Linked DNA regions of Mus musculus. The main gene of each other region encodes a partner of the protein of the gene in region 2 in a complex. Links are inferred from orthologs where the notes say so. Each region holds a gene or a part of one and is shown on either strand. Other genes may lie near its edges.

Region 1 (7,560 bases), on a different chromosome or scaffold from region 2:
GATTTCAGTTTTAAAATGTACAATATGTAAACAATAATAACAATTTTATTTTACTCTGGATTTTACTGGCTGTGAAATATATGCATATAAATGTATATGAAAATCAACATCTGTGTATATGTGGTGTGTGTGTGTGTGTTGTGTGTGTGTGTGTATGAATTTGGGTGTCTTTTTTATAACCTTCAATATAGGGCTCTTCTGGCAACACATAATGGAGGCATAGACCCATCAAGGAGAACTGAGATTCAAGTCTACTGAATCTTGAGCGGGAAGACTTGTAGGGAAAGTTCTAAGACCATTTTTTCAACTAGATAATATGATTATTGTAACATGGATGGAGCAGAGAGAATGAAGCAGATCCAGGTCACTAGAGTAGGCTCTAATGAGTGTGTGGCTACTGTGCTTTCTCCCCAAACATGTACCTTCGGCAAAAGCTAAACATGAAACAAAATAAATAAATAAAACACCCCTGAGTCTCACAATCATATCAACATGAAATGTATAATTTATACTATTTCCTGGAATTTCAAAATCCCAATTTGAATTACTATTCATAATTCTAATGGGGATTCAGTGGGCTTAGATTTTGATTCCTATAACACCCTATCAACAGGATGTTCAACCATTAGATTTCCTTGTTAATGTCATTTTGGTCAAATGGTCAATTTGTACATTCTTCAAATACTCTATTTTCTTGAATGATACCATTGATCACATCACCTCATCATTGGTATAAAGTCCAATAAGATCTTGTCTTTACTTTAATGCTTTACTGGATTCAAAGATTAATATTTAATCTATAGTAAATTCCTGGATTTTTGTTTGTTTGTTTGTTTTGTGAGACAGGGTTTCTCTGTGTAGCCCTGGCTGCCCTGGAACTCACTCTGTAGACCAGGCTGGCCTCAAACTCAGAAATCCACCTGTCTCTGCCTCCCAAGTGCTGGGATTAAAGGCCTGCGCCACCACTGCCCGGCTTAAATTAATGGATTTTTAACAACTTTAGAAATCAATATTATGAATTAAAACACATTCAAACTCCATGATTAAATGTCTAAAATAAATTCATTGAAAAAGAAAAGTTACAATGGACATTATAAAATATTTAGAACTATAGAAAAAGATGGATTTTTCATCAAAATTTGTTAGGAATAAATATATTAAAAGTGCTTTATAGATTTAAAATACTGAGAAGAACTGGGGCTGTTGCTTGGTGATACAGCATTTGCCTAACATGAAATCATTTTCGCTTCCTGACAAACAAAATCCTCAAAAAACCCTGGAAAACAAAAATTGAAATTTTACCTTATTATTTAATCTACAAAGCTAGGAGAAAAATGTTGAAAGGAAAAGAAAGAAAAGATTGGTGACAGAATAGGAGTCATTGTAATGAAGAACTGAAAAATGCTGAGCTCATCAGAAAATGTCTTTAATTAGTTTTTAATATATCTATTCAATAGACATTCATGTAATAATCTGGTATGAGAAGAAAGAATGTTAAACTGTCTGAGATACTGAGATAAGTATGAAATTACAGTTACTCTAATAAAAATGTATAAGCACTTTGAATTTATGAATGCATATAACTTTGAACATTTTCTTGTTAATATTTTAGAAATATTGATATTTAAAGTGTTAATTATGGAGTTAGAGAGATAGCTCAGCTATTGCAAGCACTCCCTGTGCTTTCAGAGCACGTATGTTCAGTGCCCAGCATTCCTGCTAAGCCCCTCACAAATCCTCATGGCTCCAGTTTTAAGGGACCTAAAACTCTCCTTTGGCCTCCACGGACACACATATGCATTGCTCACACTCACACATGGTCATACGTGCACAAAAAAATGTGAAAACCTACTTGAAAATAATAATGATACACTGTGCTCTTGTGTTCTCATTAATGAGTGTTTAATTCTACTTACAAAACCTCACTGATCTTATTTCATTGACATTAATGGTAAAGAGAGAAACTTCACGTATGAGGTGTGTGATGAAGCTAAAGCAACACTCAGGTGAAATCTGATTGAGAACTGTGTTAGATATCGCAGGGTGGGATGGTACCCAAGGGGTCAGACCCCTCCTCTAAGGAGAAAGGGAGGGGACGATGGGGGGGGGGTTGTAAGGGTAGGACTGGGAGGAGAGGAGTGTGTGTGTGGTGGAGCTGTGATGGGGATGTAAAGTGAATAAAACATAAATTATAAAAAAAAAGATAGAATTACCTTAGAAAGGAAGACACATTGTTCAAGCTGCCCTGTAATGATAGCTGCAAAGTTCCAACATCGGGAAAACATTGCCTTTGTCTGTGTGATGTCACTCCATCCTTACCACCCATGGTTTAGAGAAGAATTTGAAGGATACCAGTACTCTCTGACTTCTAGCCGTTTCCTTCAAGCTTGCTCTCTAAACTTCACAAAATTTTGTTACCTTTTCTGGCTGTGCAGAATTGACTTGTAGAGCCGCTTTCAGAACGTTTTCCAAATATCCCTGATCGTAGGCTTGACCTACGTAGGCTCTGCTGTTCCCTCACACAGGGCGCTAAACTTTAGGACCCAGACACACTGCCTTGGATGCACCACTCTCTTTGCAACAATGGATCCCAATGGAGAGCTGCTCCACTTGAGCATCAGGCATCTGGTCCTGCCTATCCTCTGCTTCGCTGTGCATTCTCACTGATCCATTCTAATTAGACAGACAGCAAACTCCGCATATTCTGTGTACCAACAACCGGCTTCTAATATACTCGTGTTCACGCTTTTTCTGACACTCACATTTTATTAACACATGCTGGTTTGGCATTATTAACATCTCTCTCCCTCTTCTGCCAGAAAGAGCCTCTGAGTCAGTCCTTAGCATTTCTTGTTTCTGCCTCTTTCTAACCGGTTTTACTGGCACCACGTTGGCCAGGAGCCCATCACTAACCTGGAACACAGCATCTTCCATAGCCTCTTGTTGCCCAGTCCGTGATTCTCATCACTGCTCAGTTTTTGTCAAGCATCATGCTCATCTGTGAGCTCACACGAACGCCTTCTTCAGCGAGTCACTTTTTCTTACTGCAAAAAAACGCTAAAAGATTTTAAGAGCTCTCAAAATCAGTCCCCCGTGTCTAATCAATGTAATTTCCCATGTCTAATCTGCACCTCCTTATGTTCCTGGTTATAATATTCACAATAAGTGAAATCTCACTGTACATTAATCACACTGAAAGTGAATTGTAAAGACCTCCCACTATGACCTCGCAAATAAGTCTTTTGCTATTGAAACAAGATTATAGTTTGGGTCAATTAAATTTTCTTTTATTAAAACACACCCAAATAAGAATGTAGGAAAGATTAAACTGGAAAAGTAAGTTTATTAATTTATACTTTTATTTTTGGTTTAAAAAGAATTATTTCTTGCTTAGCGACACTAATAAAATATTTTTTTCTATGATGGCAAATTGTGTTTAAAAACAAACCTTTGGCTCTGATTGTTAACCAGTTTGCCCCACAGGGGGTAGTGAAGAGGTTTTGTGCAGCTTGTCTAATATTATCCTAAAGGGTTATTAAGAAAATTGCCTGTAACTTGTACCGATCTGTGGTTTCTGCAATTTCCCATTGACTTATGTCTTTTAATTCCCTGGTTATACACCATATCAGTTGTTTCTTAATTCACTTCAAGCCACATATCATTATGTCTGTTACTCAGAAGCCCCAAGTCCCTTGCCACCCTCAATGGTTATTTAATATGATAGTGGAGATTATGTAATCGACAATGAAACTGGATCGCAAGCTGAGGCTTAAGTTGTAAGGGGCAGTAGACTATTCTCAGATTGCTTCATGAAAGGATTTACAATAATAGCAACAAAATCACAAGTCTTAAAATTAGCATTATTTAAGTAGCCAGTTTCCTATCTATATTTAATTTTCTGGATTCTTAAGTTTTATATTTTAACTACTGCTTCTGCTTTCTCGTGTGTTTATATCCACATTCCTGGTCCCATATATGTCATCAATGAAGATTATTCTTTCTAACTGCTATAATATATTCATGAATATAAACTCAAAATAAAATATTGTAACATTTAAATTACAGGAAATATACCCTTTTTTAAAGTTGAGAAATGTATTCCACATAGTCATACTAGGTTTTTAAAAAAATAATGCTACCAAATTCTGGTAGCAAAATTCAATATTATTCGATGCTGTTATTATTAGTGTTATTTCTTCAATAAAAGCTGTATTGATAAGCTTGGCACAGCATGCATATGTGAATGTACATTTGCTAAAAGTATTCATCAACTTTCCATTTATATTGAATAGGCACATTTAAAGCCATATATACATTTTCAAAATATTAGGGGCTTTTTTTGTGTGCAGTCAATAACAACTAAAACAATTCCAGAAAGTTCTCATTTCTCCCCCACACATTGTGTGACAACTATTTCCCAGAGAGATTGCCCAGACCTGCAAATTCATACATGTAAGTTTATATGTAGCACTCTTACCTTGAGATGAAATTTCTTAGCCAGAATCGTGCACCACTGTCTCTAACATTTAACGTCTCATTACTCTCTGGAAACCTCACTACTACCTATAAATGTGTTCTGCTGGCTCATAAACAATTATATCATCAGTCCCCTCCGTCTGTAACAGGAGACCTTAACCACAGAACTGGGAAATAAAAGGAAGACTTGTGCCAGGAGCAATACTGATGCCAAAAACCTGCCTTGCAATGATTGGCTGAATGGGCCAACCAGTTGAGTTTCATTCACCACACCGGACTCTTGAGTTAACCTACAAGCATTTTTTTTTTCATTTTCTCTCTATTTTTTTTTTTCCTTTTCCAAGGTCCCCTTTGATTTCATGCTGGCTTTTTAAATTGAGGATAGAGTTAATTCACTTAACAATGCCACAGCTGGAATTAAGTATGCCTCTTTTACTGCTGGGCTGAGCGGCTGTACAGCCTGGTTGTGTCTTATTGGATGCCCAACACCCTTGACGGCTGTTGCTGACTGAGTGGTGCCTCTAGCGACAGGAAAGAAGTTAACTAATTATGAACATATGGTTTGGCAGGCACCTTGTTAGCTTGCTGCTGCGTAGGTGTTTGGAAGCAGGAGAAGGGGAAACTTTGAGGTAGAAGGTGCGGTTAAAAGTCCCACTGATAAGCCTGGGGGAGATTTGACTGATCCTAATCTATTCTTTTTGTCAGGAGTCAGCGTGCTTCTGGCAGCAACAGCTTGGTAATAACAGAGATTTGTGGCCCTTAAGCTCTTGTGGTGATAGCCGGCACACGACCAGACCAGTCAACTGGCTGCTTAAAAGGTCTCGCATTAATTGGCCATAGTGGTGAGAACAGAAATGAGAAGTTAGGTCAAGGTAGAACACATGGTCTACCTGAAATGGCTCACCATGATCAGCTGCACAGATGTCGTTCTTTATTGATGTGATCCACAGTAGAGGAATAAGAGAATCCTTGGGGAATGGGCTGCAAGAAAGTGTGTATAAGAGCAGCAAGTGTGGCCTCTGTGTGCAAATTACCTCAAGGAAAACACAGGTGTATACAGAATTGGAAGAAGAGTTATCACATTGCTTGTGGGTTATTAGATTAAAAAAAAAAAAACAACTGAGTGCACTTTATAGAAATGAAAAAATTAAAAACTAAACAGAGAGTACTGTAGAATTGAAGAATTCTGTGACTTTTACAAATATATCAGATAAAATAGTGTTTATTCATACTCAGTGATCAACAGCAAGTCATATGAAATAGGATATTTTCTCATAACTATGTCTCCGTATATGCAACAGACTTGTCTCATTATATTTTCTTTTGCTATTTGTATGTGTGAACATGTATGTCTGTGTGTCTGTGTGTGTGTGTGTCTGTGTGTCTGTGTGTGTGTGTCTCAATGGATTTGTGCCTGTGGTGCAGGCGCCAAGGAGGCCAGAGGCATCAAATGCCCCTGGATTTGGAGTTACAGTGGTTGTGAGCTTGCTGGACAGCTGGATGCTGGTGCTGGGAACAGAACTCTGGTCCTTTACAAGAGTAGTATGTGCCTGTAAGGACCAAGCCAGTAACTAGTTCCTAGTATTTATGATTTAAGCACAAACATTTAAACATTTCACTACATTGTTTGTTGTACTATAAAGGTTTCCACGTAATATGGGCCACAATGGACTTATTGTTTTTATCAATAGGCTCATTTTTATCTAAAGTTTACAACTTTCTAAGACTAAGTTTCTCCCTGTCTCTCTCTCTTCTGTCTCTGTGTGTCTGTGCCTGTGCCTGTGCCTGTGCCTGTGCCTGTGCCTGTGCCTGTGCCTGTGCCTGTGCCTGTGCCTGTGCCTGTGCCTGTGCCTGTGCCTGTGCCTGTGCCTGTGCCTGTGTCTGTGTCTGTGTCTGTGTCTGTGTCTGTGTCTGTGTCTGTGTCTGTGCCTGTGCCTGTGCCTGTGTCTCTGTCTGTGTCTGTGTCTGTGTCTGTGTCTGTGTCTGTGGTGTCTGTGTCTGTGTCTGTGTCTGTGTCTGTGTCTGTGTCTGTGTCTGTGTCTGTGTCTGTGTCTGTGTCTGTGTCTGTGTCTGTGGTGTCTGTGTCTGTGTCTGTGTCTGTGTCTGTGTCTGTGTCTGTGCCTGTGCCTGTGCCTGTGTCTCTGTCTGTGTCTGTGTCTGTGTCTGTGTCTGTGTCTGTGTCTGTGTCTGTGGTGTCTGTGTCTGTGTCTGTGTCTGTGTCTGTGTCTGTGTCTGTGTCTGTGGTGTCTGTGTCTGTGTCTGTGTCTGTGTCTGTGTCTGTGGTGTCTGTGTCTGTGTCTGTCTGTCTGTCTGTCTCTCTTTCTCTCTCTCTCTCTGTCTTGCTTTGGTGTGAGACAGGTTCTTCTGGCTATATACCCATAATTTCCTTACCCATCCTCATGAGTTCTGAGATTATAGTCCTGAATCTTCTACAGAAGCATGTTGTTCTCTGAGAGGTTCCACTCCGTAGCTAAATCAGACAGATGCAGACACCCATAGCCAAACAGTGGATGGAGCTTGGAAACTGTTATGGATGAATAGGAGGAAGGATGCAGGCCCGGAGGGATAGGACTCCACAGGAAGGCCTAGGCTTTCCCGCACATATGTAGTAGATGGGCAGCTTGGTCTTTAGGTGGGTCCTGAACACCTGGAGCAAAGGATATCCCCAAAACTATTGTCTGTATGTGAGATATGTTCTTCTAGCTGAGCTGCATTCTCTGGCCTCAGTGGGAGAGGATGAGCCTAGCCTTTCTGAGACTTGAAGAGCCATAGTGGAGGGATACCCAAGGGGGCCTAACCTTTCAGAGGAGGGGGAGGGAGATAGGGGTAAGGTGTGGCGGGGGTGGCTGAGAGGGGAGCTCTGAGTAAGATATAAAGTGAATTCGTAAAAAAAAAAAATTAAAAAAGAAAAGGGAAAGGAAAACTCAGGTTCATTATTTTTGCCATGACTAAAAAGCAATAATTATTTCAGCTCCTGTTTTCACTGGACAATTTAAAGTATATTTGACTCTACCCACAATTGCCCATGTACATGACTTCATTCTAATTATATCACTTAGCTAAGGGATAGAGAATACTCCATGC
Region 2 (7,529 bases):
AGTAACTTGCTAGTAGTTAGCAGGCGTCAGCATTACCCTCTCTGCTTCACTTAGCCATTTGTAATGAGCAGAGCCTTACCTCCATTTCCCTAAGGTACGTGTGAATGTCTTCTTGATAGTCAGGTACTTCATTAACGTTCACTGGCTTGTCTTCTAAGACAATAGACATATCCATAGCATGTGGTGATTCTGTGTGTGTGAGATTAAAACCAAAGTATTTATCTCTTCCAATCAAAAACACCCTAATAGCAAAGCAACATAGAACATCTAATTCTGGTTTTAGGACTTTTGTCAAAGCTCTAGGATAACCTTAGTTCCAAAACAGAAATAAATGTATGCATGTATGTACACCAATAGGCTACTAAGAAGACGGAGAATTACTTTAAAGTATCATCCTCCACAGAGATGAGCAGATGAAACAATGGTTCTTTTAGGACAAGAACGTAACAGCAAAGTTTTAAAATAATTATTTTTGCCTTAAGAGAGACTGCAGATCCCATGGGTTGCCATAGTCAGATCATAATGAGGGAGTCATTAGAATCAGGTAAATGGCATGATTAACAAATGTTAGTAAAGATATCAAGTTTGTCATATCATGTCCAAACACTGATCTGTAAGGGACTTGGTGTTTGTTAAAATTGGGTCTCATTCTATAGGCTAAACTGGCCTGAAACTGACTCTGTTGCCCTAGGCTGGCAATCTTGCCTCAGCCTCCTGAGTGCTGTTTATAGGCATTAATATACTCAGCTCTAGTTTTTACCATTTCAGTTATCTTGAGATGGGAGAATCTGTGTAATAAACTGTTTCCATATCCTCCTTCCCCATCAGCAGAACTAAGTAAACTAAAGCGGCTGGAAATGGCTTAGTGCAGTGCCTGCTGCATATGCCTGAATGAAGATATGGCTTGCATTCCCAGCACCACACAGAAGCATTATCTGTAACCCCAGGAGTGGGAGAGGAAAAGGGTTGAAAATAGTCATATCCCTGTGCCTCGATGGCCAGGCTGTCTAGCCAAATCGCTGAGCTCCAAAGAAACCTTTTATCAAGAAATGAGATGGAAGAGTGGTTGAAGATACCCCAAAGTCAAGTACTCCACTAGTCTCTACTTGTACCAGCACAGGCAAGCACACCCCTTCTGCTGACACACACAGCATAAGGTAGAATGTGACAGATACCAGTATCTCTGGTCTCCATGCAGTGATGTCATAGCAACCGCAGAGCTGTCTACCGCAGCTATTTTGCCTTCCATGTGTCTGACCTACAAGCTGATGAACATTCAAACAAGTTTTAAACGAATGGTAGATATCACAATGCTTAAAACTGTAGCCTCAAGGAGCACTCTTAGGGCTGGCATGTTAAGGAGTGAGTCAGACACAAAACTGAAATCTATTCTCCTAGCCAAACATTTATAAAGTCAGATTAAGATAGATATTTACGATCTAATTAAACTTGATGTTGGTTTGCAGTGCCCTCCTGCCGGTTAAAGATTTGAGTCCTTTCATAGGTCAGTACTAGTCATGAGATTGCGGTAATCTTAACTCACTGTGTATGATCGGGTAAGACATAATCTTAAAACTCAAAATATCAAGATATAAGCTACAGGTTGAGATCCTGTCTCAAAAATAAAAGGCACAGGCTTGGTGGTTGTGGCACATGCCTTTAATCCCAGCACTTGGGAGGCTGAGGTAGGTGGATCTCTTAGTTCAAGGTCAGCCTGGTCTACAGATTGAGTTTCAGGACAGTCAAGGATACTCAAGAAACCCAGAGGGGGAATAAAAAGACAGAAAGGAGGGAAAGAAGGAAGAGAGACTGGTAAAAATAAAAAGCAACCTTACCAAAACTGCCATCCATTGGATAGTCAAGAGGTGTCAGTGGTTTTCTTGCTCCGGGTAAAGAGACAGCTGCATTAAAAGCCAGGGCATCTTCACACTCTGTTTCTTTAAGCTCAGCTGGCCTCTTCTGAGTCTCTTCTGCTTCATCCACATGAATGGTGAAGGCAGGCTGTTTACTGACTGCTTTCCATGAAGGACCAGCAGTGACATGCTCATCGTTTATAGGAAGGTCCTTAAGAGGAGCAACCTAAAGAGGAGGAATCTTTTTCAATACAACTTTGCTTCTAGCCCGGTGGGTATCAGCTTTTAATTCCAAATACTCTAAGAAACATATAAGTCCATGAGGCAAAGCCCAGGTAAAGGTGTGTAAACCGATCTGTCACAGCCATTTCTACAAAGGCTATAAATAGAACGGACTGGAATTCCAAACTAATCAAAGACTAAAGTTAGGGCAAAGAACTGATTCACAACTTTAGCCCCAGGGTGGAGCAAAACAGCAAGTCTGGCTAAAATGGCGGAATTTACCACGAAGAATACTTGCTTTATGTCCTTCCCTGAAGTAGTAATCTGGGAAGCAGATGGTGAGGGGGAAGGGATCTACATCCTAATGCAATGCCTGGCTTTAAAAGTGGAGGGAAAGGTACACAGCTGGGGGAAGTCGACACGCGAGTGGCAACGCTTGGTATGACCCCGGGCATTTTTTGGAACGCGGCGCCACTAGTGCCGAAGGGCGGTCTACACGGGTCGGCAGAGCTCGTGGGACTATTTGGTACTAGAAACGCCCGGACCGCGAAGACTGCAGCCTGACTCCCCCTGGAATGCTCAGCGTGCTTTCCGGCCCTCTGGGCTGCTAAACCCAGGACCGCTCCCGCCCGGCCCTCCTCCAGACCCCCGCGCCCTATTACCCGTCGAGTCTTGAGCTTCTGCTGCGGCGCGGGTCCACGCACGTTCCCGGCCTTCAGCACCGCCTGCGCCCGCGGCTGCTGGGCTGGCGCCAGTTTTTCGGGGTTGACATTCTCTTGGTCTTCCTGATGCAGCGAGAGCAGGGCTGAGCCCGCATCGCGACCCGAATGCCTCGAGGTGCCCGGCATCGCGGCTCCGGTCCGGTTCTGTCGGCGGCAGAGCGTGCACAGCGCCCGCCGCTCCGGAGCAGCGCGGGACCCTGGCGGCCGACCCGCGGAGCAGAGGCTGCAGGCGGGAGGAGCGTAGAGCCCAGGAGCCGCGAGCTGCGCGCCGCCCGCCGGCTGCTGGTCTTGTAGTTCAAGTAGCCCGCGACTATTGAAATAAACCAATGAGGGCGTCCGGAGTCCGTGACGTCACCAGAAGCGCCGGTCGCCGCGAGCGAAGGCCCGACGGGAATCTTACAGGGCGGGAGCCTGAGGACGCGCCTGCGCAGAGGAGGGCGGGGCGGGCGGCCGCTTTCGGCCGATCTCTGCTGCTCAGTGGATCTGTAGCCTCATAGGATCCTGCCGGAGCCGCTGGGCGGTCCAGACAAGCCCTCGGGGCCTCGAGGTGTCGGCCTTCGCCTCAGCTAAGGGGTGAAGCGCCTTCTCCTGGTCGCTGGGTGGCGCCTAGGCAGGAGCGTATGGATCTGAATGACAAACTGCCCCGTCCTGGGTACACTACTCCTTTCTCTTTCTCTGTGATGCTGCCATACAACATAGGGAAACGCTGGAACTTTTACTGTTTACTATTGTTTCACCTCTCCTGTATATCATTTGTTTGTTGTTTGATTTTGAGGCAGGGTCTCATAATGCTGTCCCAATTGTCCTGTGACTCACTGATATCCGTTATCAGAGCTCACTGATCTGGGATTAAAGGCGTGTCTCTATGCCCCGCATTCCAGTAAACTACCCCACCCCCACCCCCAATTAAAGATGGGTTAATTTAAAATGCCAACATGAGCTATTGTTGATAACAAGTGGTGTACTACAAGAAATTCAGCTGTCCATTAATTTTGCTAATCCTTGGTTGTGACATCAGACCATGAAGTTCCACTGACCCAAATAGATATTACATTTAGAAATGAAGTGCATTGTGGTACATACCTTTAATCCCAGAGTTTCAGATCTCTGAATTCAAGTTAGTCCAAGTCAGCTATGTAGTGAGATGATGTCTCAAAAGTAGAAAAAAAGTGTTCATAAGAAAACCGGGCAGCCAGGAGGCGATGGCCAAGCCTTTTCCGGGCATCTCAGGAGGCAGAGGCAGGTGGATCTCTTGAGTGCAAGGCCAGCCTGGACTGCAGAGTTAGTTCCAGGTCAGCTACACAAAGAAATCCTGTCTTGAGAAACCCTGTCTCGAAAAACAAAACAAAACAAAAACCACAAAAAAAAAAAAAAAAACCAACCCAAACACACACACACAGAGAAATATATACAAAACCTAAATAAATATATAAAGACACAAGTATATTACCTTAAATGTTCACATTTAATAGTTAAGAATCATACATAAAATATAATAAAATGTAATCATTGTTTTCATAACTACCCTTTGAAAACAAAAGACAGCTTATTTGCTCTTATTTAATAGTATTCTAAAACTTTCAATGCAATATTCCCCTGAAATGAATGACTAAAAGATCTTCTTTTCCCCTCAAGTACACAATAAAAAGGACTTTCATGGGTACTCGTAGGGGGATGCTTAGAGGCCGTCACTCTTCTGATTACATGTGGGACGTCCATCTGAGGTGCCTCGGGTCTGATCAGGCTCTGCTTGCTTCTTCGGCTGTCCTGTTGGCCTACCTTGTTTATCTTTCATGCTGCATCGAAGAAAGAAATCAGTGTGTTCTGGTCGTAGCTGTCGAGAATCTCCAGGAGCATGGGTACTTTGGTTTTTACATTAGTGCCTTTGAACTTAAATTTATCTATAAAAAGATCAGTAATCATACCTACGAAGAAAAATATTATTTCTTGTTATTGATTAGTTCTTTTAACAATGCATGTGGCATTCTCTCACCACCTGAGACTCCATTATTCAACACATACAAGCCTGGAAGAGGTTGGTGTTTTTAAAAACAGATGTGTATGTGGAGAAGGTTTGAAGCAACTTTCAAGACATAAATATTTGATAACCTTCTAACAATGGGTTGCAACTGCTGACCTAGACAAGCCACTGGTCGCGATTCTGAATCTGTGTCGGTGCACCCTGCATCCCAGCGACTGACTGCTGCTGCATCAGGAAGAACGTCTGAACTGAAGCACTTCACCCATGGGCTTACTGGGTGCAGAGGTCTGGGAAATTACTGCACCTTTGAGTTTTCAAGATGTAACACAGAGACAACTCAAGTTGTCTATTATTTATACAAGACCCTTGAAAAAAAGTATATTTTAGGAAGAGAAAAAGAATATACCATTGATACTTTTTATATTGGTCCAATGAGACTGAGTGCTGATATCTGCTAACAAAATGGCAATGCTTTTACAATAAACAGGTGAATACTTGCACTCAGTGGGATTTAAAAAAAAAATAGAAAAAGCTTCGTGTCAGTTTAAATCAGGTTTTATCATGAAGTCAATCAGATTAAGACAATTTGCTGGTAAATGATTTACAAAGGTAAACTTTGGTTTTCAAAGCTGCTTCCTAGATTTTGGAATCACAGATGAGAGACGGTAGATCTGCAACACCATCATGTAAGGATATTTTAAGAGACCCTGTGCTTGCCGAATAGTGAACACTCAGATATCAGTACTGTTCATCTGTGAGAAAGTCTTGGGTGCATAATAAATTCTGTAGGCAGGTTAGTGGATCAGTGTGGGCTGAGGACACCAGTCATGATGGCCCCAGGCCTGCATGTCAGGGAGAGAAGGGCTTAATGAAGGCTTTGCCACTAACTAGGTATGTGAGAGCAATCTTTACTCCCATATTTTATCTAAAGATTATTGAAAATGAAGATAAAATCATCTCCCTTGCAGAGCTGCTGCAACAGTTAAATATCTCAAGAAAGATAGTGCAGTGTGCTGCACACAACAAATCTTAGAGAAGGACTGCTATCCAAGCTTTTGCTTAGTCTTCCCTCCCTCCATCTCTGCCTTCCCTTCCCTTGGTCTTTTTTCCTTTTTTCAATGCAATCTGTAATATACCCAACTTATCACCAAAGCAAGACAAATTTTAAGCTGTTAACTTAAAGATCACATAAATATTCCTACTAATTTTTGCCTAAATAGATTAAATGCTGAGTTTTTTATAGTAGCAACAGAACCTGAAAATCACTGTGAGAAACAGTGTGGATGTCCAGGCTGTGTGGGTTGCAACACCTCTTCACTATACACATAGATGTTCACGGTATAATTCCACTTTCACATTTATTTGCATTTTAAAGTAAAAAAGGTTAAGATGTAAGGCCACCTTGGAAAAAATACATATTTTGTACAATAAACTGGTTGCCACAGGCTCGTGGCTGCTGTAGTCTCTGCCTAGTTCCTTTCACAACTATTTGGCAAAATAAACAAACCCCCCAAAAAACAAAAAACAAAAACAGACAAACAAATAAAAAACCCCAAAGAACTGCTGAAAAGAAGCACAGCAGGCTTTTCTGGAAAGGCTTTTCTGGTCTACTCACCATAGAGTCTTTCAAGATGTGCAGGCTGCTTTTTGTATTCCTCTTGTAGATGATCTGCCTCTTCTAGAATACATCGGTACTCTGGAGTCAGAAAGTCTGTATTTCCCTCATGAACCTGCAATTCCTTATTTAAAATTAAAAGGAAATAGAAGCACCGTAATGGTCAGGTTTTAGGTGTGTAACAATGTGCGTATGACTTAGAAAGCCCGGAGCTCACAGCCATGTCCATGATCCCACTGACACAGCCTTACCTTCAGGGCATCGATTAACTGCACTTTCTTAGCCAGAAGCAGCTGATACTCCAGCTTCGGGTGAATTAGCTTTAAAGTGTGCTTGACAGACACCTCGTTTATCTCTACAAGAAGTTGGCCAGGCACAGTTAAGTCACTTTCACGAAAAGCATTGCTATTAAAACTGCAAAAATTGGAATGAACAATTTCCTTTTTTACCGTATGATATGTTGAGATTAATTTTCCTTTTTGTAGCTTCTTTAGAAAGCACATCTTTTAGGATGGATATTGTAGAAATGTTGTCAGATTTAAAAACTCCTTCTCCTTTCCTACAAAATCAATATATTTTTAAAGAAAAGTTGAGGAGCAAGTGACCCCATAAATACGTACTTTTAGCTAGTGTTTAGATTTCATTTGATTTTACATGATCTGTATATATCATTAAGGTAAAGCATAAACATGTATTCTGACCTTTGCCATACCAAGTCAGCTTCTGAACTCAGAACTACATATCCTATTATACACATACCTCTTAAGATGAGAAATTCTGATTTTCTTCGTGGACATTAATATTGCCAATAGCAAACCTCATATATAAAATGTATTTAGAATGGCTTATTTCCACACATACACACATATGTTTTTCCTTAATATAATTACACAAATAAATTGTATTAATGTATGCTTTATTTTTAAAATAAACCTGGTATCCAACCTGAAAGAGAGACATCTGATATTTTTCAGGAACAGCATCTACTGCTACAATTTATGGTCTCAGGACCCTTAGTTTTCTTTAGGAATCTCTACTTCTCATGATAGAAAAATGAAGCACACTTGCAATCTCAGAAATTGGAACATCCCACCAAGGGCATGGATAAATTAGTAAGGTTCAAGCTGCACTTTCAG
Region 3 (7,699 bases), on a different chromosome or scaffold from region 2:
CAAAATGGTGCTCCTGCACAAGGCTGAGAGACTCCGGCGGTGCAGGGACAGAAGTGTTAACTTTCTGCTTTCATACAGACATTATCGTGATGAATAAAAAAAACCTTCTGAAGTGGATTGTAATTTCTCTATTTTTACATAAGAGCTATAGTTCACACAGAAAGAGGCAGAGGAGCTCCTTGCTGCCTAGTGATTGTCTTTTAGTTTAATATTTGAGACACGGTCTTACATAGCTCAGGATGGCTGTGAACTCTCTGTGTAGTTGAGAAGGACTTTGAATTCCTTTACCTCTACAGTGATGACATCTCTAGCAATTTAAAATGTTTATGGTGCTGGTGTCAAGGCTGGGCATATACCGGAGACATAAGGCTCACCCCATTTTACTGTGTTTTCTTCCCAAGTTCAGTAAACTAAGTAGGTATGTTAGATATGGGGGGAGGGGCAACAGCTGGGAGACTGGTGAGTGGGTTCAATGGGTCAGACACCTGCCATACAAGTCGGACAACCTGAGTTCAGCCTGCAGGACCCATGTAAGGTGTGTGTGGGGGACCTGATTCAACGTAGTCTCCTGACCTGAGCACACATGCATGCCATGACGAGTTTGTCCACATATGTGCATGTCATGCACAACATTGCAATAATATTTTTTCAATTATAGCGTGTGTATATATGTATGTAGGTAGGTAGGTCAGAGGTCATAGTACACCTACCAAGAGGAGTCAACTCGCTCTCTATCATATGGATTCCGAAAACTGACCTCAGCATGTCAGGCATTTTGGCAGGCACCTTTACCTGCTGAGCCATCTCTTAGCCCAAATCTACAAAAACCAAGACAACCTGAACACAGTGGGGTGGACCCATAGTCCCAGTGACTGAATTTTGTTTTCAGATACAGAATCTCCTGTAACACAGTCTGGCCACCAACTCAGCTATGCAGTCAAGAATGACAAATTCCTGATCCTCTTGTCTTGCTGAGCATCCTAGCTACTGAAGCTGAGGCAGAGCCCAGGAGTTCAAGGCCAGCCTGACCAACACAGTGCAAAACCACAGCAAACAAAGCACCCCAGAAGAGGCAACTCCCCACCTTGGTCCCAACTGAACAGTGCAGAAGGCCTGGATTTGAAGTCCACGCCTGGATGCTGCCTTCTTTCCTACTCAATGAGCCCCACCCATCTTTTTGGAATCTGTATTTCAGCTGAACTAGTAGATAGTGATACCAAAGGCTTGTGACAGCTGCACTTGATGATCAAGGAGACATCTGTGGGCATCCAAGGCCTGGAAAGAGACCTTTTGGATCCTTGTAAGAGAGTAGAGTCTGCAGACTGCAACCCATCCAAATCCAGACAAAATCAGGAACACTGAGACCACCAGAAGAAAACAGACAAAACCCAAACCAGCCGAGAATGAGGAGACTCTGCCACCAACTGAATAGAAGTCCCCAGACAGGAAACCTGAGTATCAATTTCCTCATTGGTAAAAAGAGGCTAAACCTATCTAAGAACTTTCTGGACTGTTACATTTTGAATGCAGGAGGCAAGGCACACACACACACACACACACACACACACACACACACACACACACGTGCACGTGCGCGCGCGCGCGCGCACACACACACACACACACACACACACACATCCTGGCAAAGATGTGGCTAAGAAAACAAGTCAATATTCAGTCTCACCTACACCAGAGGAAGATAGGAAAACCATGCTTCTTTGGGACACTAAACCAGAAATTTAATTTCCTGTAACATGTTTTGTGTTTAGCGCAAACCAAGACTGTTTGGGAATACTAGTGGGCAAAGCCCTTAAAATCTCACTGAACTCTGAGATACGACAGGCCTGGCTATTCTGTTTTAACTTCTGTCACTGTGCTCAGCAGTGATAGAGAAATGTGAAGTTGCCCAAGGAGCTGAAAAAAACCCACCCAACATTACTAGATGTTGGTAATACCGTGGTGGTGGTATTATAAATCACTTGCAAATCTAGTCTTAGATCCTTAGGAAAGTGTTTTCGCCCTTTAACAACCTGCAGCTCTCTAAAAGTATTTGCTTGTATTTGAATATTGTACTGAGTAGGTTGGAAGCAACAGGCTGGTGGGAGAAAAAAGAGAAGGAAGGCACTGTTGTAGTTGGCGTCTGGACTCAGGTGGAGGGAACGGCTTCGCCCGGGAAAGAACATAAGGGTATAAAGGCGAGTTCCCACACGCTATAGCAATGGCTTTCACTGTGCTTAGGAACCAAGAAAATCAGAACTGGCTTTTTCTGATTTCTGTCTGGGACGGCTCTAAAGAGAGGCTTGGGAGAGCACTGGGGGTTTTCAATCTCGAGATCCTACGGTGGAAGCGCTTGGATTCAGAAACACCCTGATAAGAGCGGTCAGTCCTGGCTTCTTTTTGAAACCACCTCCTGGCCTGTCCTACATAGCAGAGACTTCTGGGGTCAGGCTAAGCGGCCGATTCCGCACCCCAGCTAAGGCACCCTGCCGGGTGGGGGTGGGTGGGCTGCCCCAGGCCCTGAGCCAAGGTTTCCTGAATCTCTCGCATACCCTCCTCCATTCCCACCTCGGCGAATGCAGGTGGGCTGAACTAGCCACCGAAGCTCCTAATAAGCCGCCAGCGACCTAGGAGCCCACTGGTCCAGGCCCTAGGTTTCGCGGGCAAAGACCTGGAGGTCGCAGTCGGGAGCGGTGACGCGCCTGCCAGCGCAGCTCTGCAGCGCCGGGACCTAGATCCCCGGGTCCCTGCCTGGCCGCCGCGCTGGCCCCTCCCCAGCTCTCCGGCCGTTTGGCTAGTTTGTTTGTCTTATTTTTAATTTCTCCGGGGCCAGCCAGAGCAGGTTTGTTGGCAGTCGTACACCTCCGAGTAGTCACGCGACCAGCCAATGTCCTGGCGGCGCTACGGGGAGGCGGCGCGCTCGGGAGCGCGGAGAGGCGGCGGCGCCGCGCCCGGGGCCACCTTAAGAGCGCGCTCGCCAGCCTGGGCGGAGCGGCTCCCGGCGCCGAGACCAATGGAGCTCCTCCTCTGTTTAAATAGACTTGCAGTGTCAATCATCTTCTTCTTCGTCAGCCTCCCTTCCACCGCCATATTGGGCAACTAAAAAAGGAGGGGGGCTCGTGCTTTTGGGGTGTTTTCCCCCCTCATCCCTTGTCCCGACTCACTCGCGGCTCCGAGACTCGCGCGGCGGCAAGGTTTGGAGAGGGGCTGCGTTCGCGGGACACACGGGCTCGCCCCAGCCTACGCTCCGACTGTTTGCCACCTCCTCCTGCCTCCTCCCCTCCCTTCCCCGCCCTCCAGTACACTTGATCACTGAAGCCTCGAGCTGCGCGGCGGCTGGGGTGTCCCTGCGCCTCTCTTCCCCAGACCTGCGCGCTACTGCGGCTCGGGCGGTCGCTCGCCTGGCTCTGCTCCATTTGACTGTCTGTGTGCAGTCGCAGAACTTCGAAGAGGGTTTTGCGCTCCATCCGTGGCGTTTCGCTTTTGTTCGGTTTTGTTGTTTATTTCATTTTTTTTTTTCCGGAGAGAGGCGAGGCGGTGGTCCACACCCGCCCGAGGAGGAAGATGTCAAACGTGAGAGTGTCTAACGGGAGCCCGAGCCTGGAGCGGATGGACGCCAGACAAGCGGAGCACCCCAAGCCTTCCGCCTGCAGAAATCTCTTCGGCCCGGTCAATCATGAAGAACTAACCCGGGACTTGGAGAAGCACTGCCGGGATATGGAAGAAGCGAGTCAGCGCAAGTGGAATTTCGACTTTCAGAATCATAAGCCCCTGGAGGGCAGATACGAGTGGCAGGAGGTGGAGAGGGGCAGCTTGCCCGAGTTCTACTACAGGCCCCCGCGCCCCCCCAAGAGCGCCTGCAAGGTGCTGGCGCAGGAGAGCCAGGATGTCAGCGGGAGCCGCCAGGCGGTGCCTTTAATTGGGTCTCAGGCAAACTCTGAGGACCGGCATTTGGTGGACCAAATGCCTGACTCGTCAGACAATCCGGCTGGGTTAGCGGAGCAGTGTCCAGGGATGAGGAAGCGACCTGCTGCAGAAGGTAGTGACTCTTTGGAAAACTTAAAATGTCTGTCTGTCTGTCTGTCTCCGTAAGCGCCCCTTTACTAGACCCTGTTCACTTGCTTTCTCCAGCGTGTTCTGCTTTAGCTCTGGGAAATCGAACTTGTTTGAAGCTTAGGTTTGACATACCCCCTATCCGACTGCTTGCCCTGTTTATGATTTTGAAGTCAGAAGCCGGAGATAGTAAGATGTGATAACTTCCGTAGCCGAACGCATCACAGTTCCTCCCCTCTAGCCAGCTGTAGATACGTGACAAAAGTTCGGATGTTTACCAACTGCCTCCTCCTTGGCTGGGGTGGGGGGGTGGGGGTGGGGATGGGGGTGGGGAAGAGACGTGGGGTGTAGAATACTCCTTGTGTTAGTGGGAACAACCTTATTTTGTGTCCTTAGATGCTACCGGGGATGACGGGTCCAGGGGTCGTGGGTGGAGGTAGTGAGTGGGTTGTTCATCCCTTGGGCCTACTTCTGTCAGCCATTGTTGTCGATAATAAAGATGGTTTGTGTGTGTTCTCTTAAAAATTTCCCCTTGCCCCCCTCTTAGATTCTTCTTCGCAAAACAAAAGGGCCAACAGAACAGAAGAAAATGTTTCAGACGGTTCCCCGAACGCTGGCACTGTGGAGCAGACGCCCAAGAAGCCCGGCCTTCGACGCCAGACGTAAACAGCTCCGGTGGGTTAATGAGGAAGAACACAAAACTGACACCCCATCTGGGCTGCGCTCCCCGGGGGGCCTGCAGACCCCAGGACTGCTGGCAGATTAGTTGCCTGCCAGGAGGAATTACTTTCCTTGATCAAAAAAATTAACACTGGGGAAGGCTGGAATCACTTGAGGGGACTATAATGCAGTATTTGCACCCCAAGATATTTACCTTAAAGTGGAATCAGAATGAGGTTCCCAAGCAAGAACTTGCCACCAAGGCCCCAAAGGATAGGGACGGTCGTATCCTTATGAATCCCACTAAAACTTAGGCTGGGAATGACAGTTTTCCTTTCCAGTCTCAGTTCATGAGAACCCATTTCCCAGAGGTTCGTTTTGAGCCAATAGCCTATTTTGAACCATTTGAACTGTAGAAAAATGGCAAATATATACTTACATGTATGTTCTTAAGAGAAAAACTAGGTACCCATAGTGCACGTTTGATTAGGAGTGTGAATAGAGCTGCCGTGGCTCGAGTTCTTTTTATCTTTTGCTTTTGTTTTGGTTTTTGGTTTTTTGAGATAGGGTTTCTCTGTGTAACAAACAGCTCGGGCTATTCTGGGAATTGCTCTGTAGACCACGCTGGCTTCGAACTCACAGAGATCTGTATTGTCTCTGCCTCCTGAGTGCTGAGATTAGAGGTTGTGTGCCATCACCTCTGGGTACTTTTTTATTTTTTTTTAAAGTTGTGCCTTGTATGCTGGTAAATTTTGGAGAGAAAGGAACTTCATACTTAAAAAAAAAATTAGACTGGAAAGTTCAGAAGTACTAATGCTCCCACAGAATTGATTTTAACCCTGAGGTTACAAAGCAGAAGTTAAATGAACAGCTAGAGGAAGCAGCCTTCCCACACGTCAGCACCGTATGCTAATTTGCTGGAACAGGACGGTTTGGATGTTTATAGGGGAAATGGATAGTAGATGTTAGGACCAACTGAGAAGGTCCAACACAAGTGTGGATTTTTCCATGTGTCAAAAATCTCATCACCCCACTTGCCTAATTAGAGTAACCCAGCCCCTAAATTTACATAGATTGACTATTCATATGCTCTAACTACTTATAATAGTTTATAAGCTCCTTATGAAGAAAACCAGCATTCTCTATTTCTAAAGCCCACTTATAACCCAGCATACAAATAGATCTTAACAGTTTATTATTAACTTTTCAGGTCCTCATTTATTGAAATTTAAAAATAAATGAAGGAATATAGAGATGGCACAGGGTTCCAGCTTGTTGTGTTTATAAATCATAAAGTCATGATATACCTTCTACAGACATAGCATTTTTTCAGAGATGGAAAATGGCCATTAGAGTCACTTTCCATATTATACCCTCTATAAAGTTGTCGAATTGGATGGGAGTTCTTTCTAACTAGCCATCACACCTGTAGCTTTAGTTGCTTTGTGTGGCTTCTGGCCTAGCTTTTCAGATGAGCCGCCTGGATTTTTACCTGGCCTGTTCTGATAAAGAGGCATTTATTAGCCAAGCAACCATAAGACTCTAGTCAAAAGCACTCGTGCAGATATGCTGCATATGAGTAAGAAATTGCAATTTTGTAAACATTCCTCGACTTGGTGGGGAGGAATAATTTTATAATTGCATTTCCAGGTATTTTTCAAGATTACGAAAATATGCTACTCTGATGTGTTATGGTTCCTGAATTTCTTTTCTTTCTCACCCTCTTTGACCCAGATTTTATAGAGCGAGTTTCTCAACCTCTGCACAGTTGACATTTTGAGCCAAATTATTCTTTGTTGTGGTAGGCAGTCCTGTGCATTTTAGAATGTTTGGCATTATCTCTGGCCTCCCCCACAAGATGCCAGTAGCAATCTTCTTCCCGAAGCTGTGACAATCAGAAATGTCTCTTAGACATTTCCAAATGTCCCCTGGGGCATGGGAGGGTTTCACAAAATTGCCCACTTGTTAAGGACCCTGACTCTAATACCACACAAAACAGAACAAAAATCCAGCAAAGATAGGATCGGAGATACCTGTAGTCTTCAGACCTTTAGTGCCTGTATTTATCCATCATTACTGAAGTATTTGTTAACTAAGCTAGCAACAAAATAATTTCTGTACTTTGGCAATGTTACTCTAGTGTCTTCTCCCTAATTCTTTTGTTTCTTTTGCAGAATTAAGAATATTTCCTTGTTTATTAGATACATCACTGCTTTATGAAGCAAGGAAGATATACATGAAAAAATTTAAATACATATCGCTGACTCCATTGAATGGACATCCTGTATAAGCACTGAGAAAGCAAAAACAATAACACTAAAATTTTAGGCACTCTTAAACCATCTGCCTCTAAAAGCATTGGATGTAGCATTGCGCAATTAGGTTGTTCCTTATTTGCTTTGTTGTACTACCTGTGTATATAGTTTTTATCTTTTACTCTGTAGCACATAAACGTTAGGGATGGGAGGGCAGGGTGGGGCTGAGGAGTCAGCATGGGGGTGAAGAACTTGCTTCAATTTGTAGCAAGGAGAAAAATATTTGACTTGCATAAAGAGAAGCAACCTGGGTGGGGGTGGGGGGGGGAAGGGTTTGAATTCCTTTCTTTAAAGATGTAGTGTCCCTTTCGGTAAGAATGGATCCTTTATTTTTAAAATAATCAAAATTTGAATAATTGCTACACATGGTTGCTATTTATTTCTACATGAAGCTTATTCTCACTTGGAGGTTCTGAAGATTCTGTTATAGAGCAAGAAATGGCTTAATTTTTTTTTTTAATTGGAATTTACCAGTTTATTGTTTAGCAGTAATTACCCCAGGTAACACTGGGCAAAAATCTGGGGTGCATAATAGGGAATTCTGAATTCTTAGATTTGATTATCCCAGATCATTTTTGCTAAGAAAAATTCTTATTTCTTTTTTTCACAGTGAACATAATCCTAAATCCTTGGATATTTTTAGAAGTCTGTAACTTTACACAAATAATGAAATA

The links. The genes of interacting proteins can lie anywhere in the genome.
Region 1: the proteins of Ccna2 (region 2) and Gmnc are in contact, whole or in part, in a cryo-EM structure (PDB 9HIU), measured with the Homo sapiens proteins. The link is inferred for Mus musculus from reciprocal best matches to the Homo sapiens genes CCNA2 and GMNC. Residues at the interface, in NP_001228.2 of Homo sapiens: Met210, Ile213, Leu214, Asp216, Trp217, Glu220, Val221, Glu224, Arg250, Leu253, Gln254, Tyr280, Ile281, Thr282, Asp283, Thr285; in NP_001140158.1 of Homo sapiens: Asn165, Ala166, Lys167, Arg168, Asn169, Leu170, Ser171, Glu173, Phe174, Ala175.
Region 3: the proteins of Ccna2 (region 2) and Cdkn1b are in contact, whole or in part, in a crystal structure (PDB 1JSU), measured with the Homo sapiens proteins. The link is inferred for Mus musculus from reciprocal best matches to the Homo sapiens genes CCNA2 and CDKN1B. Residues at the interface, in NP_001228.2 of Homo sapiens: Met210, Ile213, Leu214, Asp216, Trp217, Glu220, Val221, Glu224, Met246, Arg250, Gly251, Lys252, Leu253, Gln254, Leu255, Tyr280, Ile281, Thr282, Asp283, Thr285, Tyr286, Thr287, Gln290, Arg293, Met294, His296, Leu297, Lys300; in NP_004055.1 of Homo sapiens: Lys25, Pro26, Ser27, Ala28, Cys29, Arg30, Asn31, Leu32, Phe33, Gly34, Val36, His38, Leu41, Thr42, Asp44, Leu45, Glu46, His48, Cys49, Asp51.

Annotation. Positions count from the first base shown.
Region 1 is NC_000082.6:26,986,996-26,994,555, forward strand, and holds the start of Gmnc (geminin coiled-coil domain-containing protein 1), read right to left. Parts: upstream 4,658-7,560; 5' UTR 4,478-4,657; intron 3,045-4,477; 5' UTR 2,966-3,044; coding exon of another isoform or gene 2,935-2,965; coding exon 2,914-2,934; intron 1-2,913. UniProt on the Homo sapiens protein: Regulator of DNA replication. Promotes initiation of chromosomal DNA replication by mediating TOPBP1- and CDK2-dependent recruitment of CDC45L onto replication origins.
Region 2 is NC_000069.6:36,568,901-36,576,429, forward strand, and holds the start of Ccna2 (cyclin-A2), read right to left. Parts: upstream 4,139-7,529; 5' UTR 3,881-4,138; intron 3,404-3,880; 5' UTR 2,924-3,403; coding exon 2,738-2,923; intron 2,080-2,737; coding exon 1,836-2,079; intron 190-1,835; coding exon 80-189; intron 1-79. Other genes in the region: Bbs7 (Bardet-Biedl syndrome 7 protein homolog), read right to left, coding at 4,589-4,722, 6,394-6,517, 6,645-6,748, 6,843-6,952. UniProt on the Homo sapiens protein: Cyclin which controls both the G1/S and the G2/M transition phases of the cell cycle. Functions through the formation of specific serine/threonine protein kinase holoenzyme complexes with the cyclin-dependent protein kinases CDK1 or CDK2.
Region 3 is NC_000072.6:134,917,359-134,925,057, forward strand, and holds the start of Cdkn1b (cyclin-dependent kinase inhibitor 1B), read left to right. Parts: upstream 1-3,042; 5' UTR 3,043-3,561; coding exon 3,562-4,036; intron 4,037-4,597; coding exon 4,598-4,716; 3' UTR 4,717-4,725; intron 4,726-6,884; 3' UTR 6,885-7,699. UniProt on the Homo sapiens protein: Important regulator of cell cycle progression. Inhibits the kinase activity of CDK2 bound to cyclin A, but has little inhibitory activity on CDK2 bound to SPDYA. Involved in G1 arrest. Potent inhibitor of cyclin E- and cyclin A-CDK2 complexes.